2 linked regions of the Oryctolagus cuniculus genome follow. The protein of the gene in region 1 interacts with the protein of each later gene in a pairwise test. Links are inferred from orthologs where the notes say so. Each region holds a gene or a part of one and is shown on either strand. Other genes may lie near its edges.

What was found. The genes of interacting proteins can lie anywhere in the genome.
Region 2: the proteins of MELTF (region 1) and HPGDS interact in binary tests that used the Homo sapiens proteins (3 or more experiments, as listed by UniProt). The two-hybrid records come from large-scale screens. The link is inferred for Oryctolagus cuniculus from reciprocal best matches to the Homo sapiens genes MELTF and HPGDS.

Annotation. Positions count from the first base shown.
Region 1 is NC_091435.1:83,488,616-83,492,267, forward strand, and holds part of MELTF (melanotransferrin), read right to left. Parts: intron 3,069-3,652; coding exon of another isoform or gene 2,912-3,068; intron 2,828-2,911; coding exon of another isoform or gene 2,760-2,827; intron 1,166-2,759; coding exon 978-1,165; intron 1-977. UniProt on the Homo sapiens protein: Involved in iron cellular uptake. Seems to be internalized and then recycled back to the cell membrane. Binds a single atom of iron per subunit. Could also bind zinc.
Region 2 is NC_091439.1:71,161,339-71,164,990, forward strand, and holds part of HPGDS (hematopoietic prostaglandin D synthase), read left to right. Parts: intron 1-587; 5' UTR 588-596; coding exon 597-729; intron 730-3,652. UniProt on the Homo sapiens protein: Bifunctional enzyme which catalyzes both the conversion of PGH2 to PGD2, a prostaglandin involved in smooth muscle contraction/relaxation and a potent inhibitor of platelet aggregation, and the conjugation of glutathione with a wide range of aryl halides and organic isothiocyanates.

The DNA.
Region 1 (3,652 bases):
GTTAAGTGCGCAAGCTTGGGATCCGACCAGGGCTGAGGATGCACAGGCAGGCCCTTCTGTGAACACAAGGTATTTGATGGCATGGGACTGGGTGGGGTCAGCAAGGGAGTAGGTGTACACAGAGAGGAGGCTTGGGGCTGGAGCCTGGCTGCTCCAGCATGCACAGGGAGGTGAGCAGGGAGAAGCCAAAGGGACCTGAAAGCAGTGGCCAGAGAGGTGGGGGAGGCAGGGGCAGAGTGCTTCCGTTGGGAGGAGGCCAAAACTGCTGGGAGAATGGAGGGACGACCACTGCACCTAGCAAACTGCATTGCTGTGACCTTGTGAAGGGCCCGCCCACCGCGAGACCAGGAGAGGAGATGACGGACGAGCCGACTGCGCTCACTCTGCAAGGGAGTGGAATTATGGCTACAGGAGGATGAGAAACTGAGAGGAATAGTTCATTTTTTAAAAGTTTGTAAAAATAACAGTTTTGGGCTGGCACTGTGGCACAGTGGGTAAAGCGCCACCTGCAGTGCCGGCATCCTATATGGGTGCTGGTTTGATTCCGGGCTTCTCCACTTCCGATCCAGCTCCTTGCTATGGCCTGGGAAGGCAGCACAGGATGGCGCAAGTCCTTGGGGCTCTGCGTCCATGTGAAGGACCTGGAAGAAGCTTTTGGCTTCTGGCTTTGGATTGGCCCATCTCCAGCCATTGCAGCCATTTGGGGAGTGAACTGGCGGATGGAAGATCTCTCTCTGTCTCTCTCTCCCCTTCTCCCCCGCCTCCGCCTCTGTAACTCTGCCTTTCAAATAAATCTTTATAAATAATTACCCACCTGTTTATATATTGGTGAGAATGATGCAGTTGAAAAGGAAAAATGAATGATGTAGGGGATGGGGTGAGGGTTGCTGGAGGGACATCCCAAAGTGACAATCACAGAGTTTCCCCCAGGCTGCTCTGAGGGCCCTGGCTCCCCTGTGCCCCCGGGGCTGGCTCACCTGGGCCTTGTCCAGCAGTCCGTAAACGGTGAAGATGTTGGTGTCGGGCCGCACCATGACGGCGTGGGACGGAATCTGGGCCAGGTTGCAGGCGGCAAACTGGTGCGCCTCTGCTCGCGCGCCGTTGGGGCACAGCAGCTCGTAGTCCTGGCTCCTCAGATGGGCAGCCCACGGCTCGGGATTGTGGCCTGAGAGGACGGAGCCGGGCGGTGTTCAGGGTTGCTGCGCTCCCGACCCTGGCTCCCTCTGCTCGGGTCCCCAGCGTGCTCTGTTGTCCCGGCACCTGCTTCTTAGCAGCACAGGGAAGCCAGCCCTGCTGTGTTGTGAGCGAGGGCTGCCATGGGCAGGGCGCGGGGCGCTCCTACTGAGTGACATGCGCTTTACAACACTGCCCGACCCTCCTGGCCGTGGCGCGGGGCAGGACCCATAGCCCCCCAGGTGAGGGAACGGAGGCTGTTATTTAGCCCCGGGCAGAGTCCCATCTGTGTGTTATACCCTTGGGCCTGACCTTCTCAAACTGGAGGGGGCAGCACACCACATGAGGGCCTTAGGGGCCGTTTCTCTGCTTGTCGGGTAGGTCTCCGTGGTGCCCAGGAATCTGCATTCTGAACCAGGTGATGCTGGGGCAGGCGGCTGGTCCCTGTGCTATCTTGTGCTTCACTCAGTACCCACCCTCCTCTCCCAGAGGAGCTCCAGGTGGGTCCCCAGTAGAGCCCACGATGATAGGGAAGCGAGCCTGCGGGCAGTGGGTGCCTCACCGCAGGTGAATCTCCTAAGGGGCTTCTCCGGCTCTACCCTTCTCTTCTCGGGACCACCTGGCTGGGGTCCAGCACGAGGTGGGACTGGTGGCTTCGGCAGGAGTATGCAGAGCCCCTGACCTGGCCCTGGCTGGTCTTTGTGGGAGCTTGGGTAGTGGAGTGGCAACTTGGGTAGTGGAAGGCTTCGGGCCTGGAGGTGCCAGCCCAGCCCACCACCTGCGTGACCTGAGGCAGAGGGCATCTGAGTCTTCCAGTACTGGCTTTTCCTGCATAGCTGGCTTCCCCCATCACTGTGGGCCACACCTGTGCCCTTCTGGGCTGTGCCTCTGGGAAGGGGGGTTGGGATGGAGTGGGGAAGGCTGGGGTTTCACAGCCTGGGGTGCAGGCAGGAGGTAGAAGCACCAGGTGCTGGGACCAGCAGCGTCCTGTCCCCGGGCCAAGGGGGTCCTCTGGCTGAGGGGCGGGGACACCCTCCGGGAAGCCCAGCTCTGGCTGGACCTCAGGGCTTGCAGCACAGCATCTCCAGGCTCTTTTCCCCAGCGGAAGCACCACCTGCAGAACAGAACGCTCCGGGGGTGGGCCCTGCCTCCGTGTGGTTGGGGCCGCACAGTGACGTTCCTGCGTGCGACAGTGAACCGCTCCGGACCTGACACCAGTTGCTGATGTGCACCCGTGCCCGAGGCCTTGCTGCATCCCCACTCAGACACACCTTGTCCCCCCTGATTCATCTGGGGCAGGCGGGAGTTTCCAAATGCAGTGAGCCTGAGTGTTTACCCTTTCAGTGGGTTAGGGACTGGAATCCTGGACCAGCAACGGCCTCCGTGCGTCCTGCACACCAGGCCTGTGGCTGGAGGTCTGTTCTGACCGTGTCTCCCGCTCCGCTCCTCCAGGTCCCCAGGATGCCCCCAGGCAGGGCCTTCTTGACTCAGTTTCTCCAGCTGCCACGTGGGCCCCAAACTTAGGGAATCCAGGTGCCTGGATAGTGCTGGGGGTGGGGTGTGGCCCCCTGACCCGGTTCACATACCATTTGTGTTGTCAAAGATGGTCGTGTGCTTGACGAAGGCCACGTCCCCTGCACCCTCCACCAGGCACCTGCCGCACACGGGGCAGGGTGGGAGTCAGGAGGGAGCCACCTCTGAGCAGACCCCGGCCCCAGGCCCCCTGGTGGCCCAGTACCTGAAGGCGCCACTGTCGCCATAGTACCGCTCCTGGCTGTTGCCAGTGCACTTGTTGCGGCCCTGCTCGTCACCCACGCAGAGTGCGCACAGCGAGGAGGGGTACTTCTTGGGGTTGTTCACCGGCACACAGCTGGCGTTGAAGAACTGACCCACCGCTGGGGAAGGGGTGAGATGGGGGTGAGCAACTGGGCTCTGGAGTCCCCACTCTCACCCCCGCTTGGCCTGGCCCTGGGGCTCCAGGCCACCCCTCTGCCCTGCCTTCCATGGGGTTCCCCTGGGAGGGGGTGCGTCCCCCTGGGAAGGGCACAGGAGCAGACAGGAGGCAGAGGTTGTCTCTATAGCCTGGGGGAAGAACTGTGGTCAGCCAGCCTGTGCTTGAGTTCCCTTGGGAACAGGGAGCTCACCACCTCATAAGCTATTGTTGCTGTCCCTGCAACCCCAGGGGCTGGCTGAGAAAAGACTTTTCATTTCTTCTGAGTTACCAGTGGGGGACAGAAGGGCGTGGTCCCTCCTGAGCACATGGGTCTTGCCTGTTGCCCACCGCCTTCCCCTGCCACGAGGATTGCATGAACACACGGATGGGGCTTTCCTTCTGTCCCCAACCTAGCGCTCATGGGGACGCTTGGACTTGGGTGGGCGCCCAGCTGCTTTCCAACAAGGCATCCAGGCACTGCCGGGGGCTGGGGACAGTCCCAGGGTGCATGGTGACACAGCCAGGCACAGATCTATGCACACACCC
Region 2 (3,652 bases), on another chromosome or scaffold:
GCAACCTCTCTGAAATAGAAGGAAAGCTTCCCTTTTCCTTTACAGAGAGGTGAAGGAAGAAGCTTGTCATTGTCCTATCCCAACAGAAATCCCCAGGTGGGGTGTGTGTGTGTGTGAGAGAGAGAGAGAGAGAGAGAGAGAGAGAGAGAGAAAGAAAGATCTTCCATCTGCTGGTTTACTTCCCAGATAGCCACAAGGACTTGGCAATGCCTGGCTGAAACCTGAAGCCTGAAGCCTGGAATTCTATGCAGGTCTCCCACATAGGTGGCAGGGGCCCAAGGACTTTGGCCACATTCCAGGTGTTTTAGCTGGGACCTGGATTGGAAGTGGAGCAGCTGAGGCTTGACCTGCACTGTGATAGCCAATACTGGCATCGTGAGCAGAGGGTAGCTTAACTTTCTGCAACACAATGCTGGCTCCAAGTTTCCACATATTAGATAGTCATTTATGATCTTGGTTTTGCAATGTTCTCCCGTCTCTGACTATCTCAAAAGACGCTGTGAAGCTTTCAGACATGTCCCCGAAGAAAATTATCGAGACATCCCTTGTGGACCGTTAAAGTAACCCCTCCTCTCCTCTCCTTCCAGAATCTCATCATGCCCAACTACAAACTCACTTATTTTAATATGAGGGGGAGAGCAGAAATCATCCGGTACATATTTGCTTATTTGAACATAAAGTATGAAGACCGCAGAATAGAGCAAGCTGACTGGCCTGAAATCAAATCAAGTAAGTAGCACAAATGAAAACGTAGGGAAAACGTGCTTTGAGAACCTTTAGTCCTTCGTCAAGAAAATGAACAAATAAAGATGTTTTCATCTCCTGTGGCTTTAAATTGTGAAGCCGTCATTCAGGCAAGCTAAATCGGTACACTATGACTCAGCAGATTTCCTATTAGTGATGAAAACACAAGCCTCACAGACAGCAACTACAAAAATAAACAGAGAGCCTTGCCAGAAGAACTGAATCAGACATGAGATGCACCGTTGTATATTTTATAGTTGCGATTACTGAAGTGCACAGACTCTGAGTAATTTTTCCAGTTTCCATCCCTAACAGGTTGAGCTGATTCAAACCTGCATCAGTTTAATTCTCTCCCCCAAGTATTTTTGCATGAGAAAATGCCAACAATAATGATAAGTGACAATTGGTAATTTAGCAATACATCCCCACATGTCTTTTGGAAGCATGCCTTCTGTAAAAGACGTTGTCTTTATAATGACCACCCCCTTCTTTTTAAGCAGAGATGTTTCTGTCTGATAGGATAGAATATCTTACTTCCTGTTCTCATGAGACTTTACCATTAATCTGCAAATGTTTTTCCTGATATTGGGGTTTTTTTATTACTAGATTTTTTTTTATTTTTCCCAAAAGAAATCTTTTATTTAAGGAAAACAAACTTCATGCATTTCATAAGTAAAACTTTAGGAATGCAGTGATTCTTCTCACCATACTCACCCTCTCACCCACACTCCCACACTCCCACTCCCCCGACTCCCAATCCCATTCTCCACTAAGATCCATTTTCAATTAACTTTACACACAGAAGATCAACTCTACGCTAAGAAAAGAGTTCAACAATTTGCACAGAAAGCGAAACAAAACTGTTCCTCAACAGGCAAGACAAGGGCTGTTCAAAGTCATTGCAACTCGAAGTTAATTTCACTTTTTTTTTTTTTTTGAGAAACTTAATTTACTTTAAAGAAACACCCAAGAATGTTACATCTTTTGGGAGCACTTAGACATAACTATACCTTATAAGATATAAGAATGTTCTTCATTTAATATATTAGAAGAAAGCAAGTCCTTGAGAACAAGTTTTATAATTAATTAAGGAAGCACCTAAGAAAACAAGCAGTGGAGTTTATAATTTAGGCATAACTAAAACTTATGAGACAAGAATATCCTCCACTTAATACATTAAAACAAAATAAATCTTTGAGAACAAATTTTACTGTTAACTCTCATAATACAACTCTTTGAGGACAAAGGTCTTGCATGGGAAGTTAGTGCATAGTGACTCCTGCTGTTAATTTAACAATTAATACTCTTATGTATGATGTCAATGATCATCTGAGGCTCTTGATATGAGCTGCCTAGGCTATGGAAGCCTTTTGAATCCACAAATTCCATCGGTATTTAGACAAGGTCATAAGCAAAGTAGAAGTTCCCTCCTCCCTTCAGAGAAAGGTACCTCCTTCTTTGATGACCACTTCTTTCCACTGGGATCTCACTCACAGAGATCCTTCCTGTAGAATATTTTTTGCCATAGTGTCTTGGCTTTCCATGCCTGAAATGCTCTCATGGGCTTTTCAGCCAGACCAGAATGCCTTAAGGGCTGATTCTGAGGTCAGAGTACTGCTTAAAGCAATTGTCATTCTATGTGCATATGATTTTAAGATAAAAGTTGTATCATAGGTGAATTTCATTTTGTCCATGAAATGATTAGGTCAAGATGAATAGCATAGTGCAAGGATAGTACACACACCAAATTCTGTATTTAAGCTTTTAAAATTTTCATTTTTCTTTTAGAGCCTCATCCCCTAGTCTGTCTTGACTTGTTTCTGTTATTGAAAATGTAGTTTTCACATTTTCTTAATATCTTTATAAAATTCATGATGATTAAGATATTAATTTCAAATCATTTATGAGCCAGAGACCTACCACTGCGTTGTCTTCAAGAAGATAGAAACTTCATAGACATAAAAACTCAAATAGAAATAGTGATTTTTCTCCATGAGATTGTCAAAGACTAGGCTTGCTCTTGTTTATCTGCCACCCATGGCTGTCTTATTTACAGAGTGTAAGATAGTTCACTCTCTTTCCACATTTGGGCTCTTTGGAAGTATGAAAAAGGGAGGAGGCATACCCTTTCTTTTCACAGCTTGACCAGATAGTTACATAGAACTTCCATTACATTCCCTTGGCATGTAAGAACTTAGTCACACATTGGTGACATGTTACTGTGAGGGAAGCAGGGAAATGTTGACTTTATTGTGAATAACACCTTGTCCAGCTAAAACTCCAGGGTTTTATTACTTTGAGAAGAAAGGTTAAAATAGGTACAGAGATGCAGTTTCTATTACAAATTTTATTTGTTCTTATCTCCCATCCAGTTTAGCAGTGCTCTCTGGTGTTTGAAACCCTCTACAATATCCCCTTTGCTAGAACCTGGAATTAACTCAATCTTTGGTCAACCCTTTCCATAATTGAATAATTCTACTAAAAAGTTCTTTCTGGCCAAACCTGCCAAACTGATCACATTTGTTTTACATTTTCTCTCTGCTTTAATAATAGGAAAATATTTTGGAAAAAAGACAAAACACCATAAGGACAAAAACATCAACTTGAATAGGAGAGCAGAAAAATCTGGAAGCTAGAAAGCCAGTAAAAGAATGCTAAGGAGACAGTAGGTTCGTAAAGGCCAAAAAAGAAGCCTGGAGGAGGAAAAGGCAAGCAGAATCATTCTGAGTTCCTGAAAAAGGCTCAGGGAGCAGCAGCAACAGGCAGCTTTAAAAGCTGAGCTAATAGAGGATTGACTGGAAGAATGTGAGAAAGCAGTAGGACCACCAGCTCCTTCCCCCTCCCTGGGAAAAATGTGGACATTACTCTCAGGATAGGATGCACCAGAGGATTCTGGGACAACAGGCAT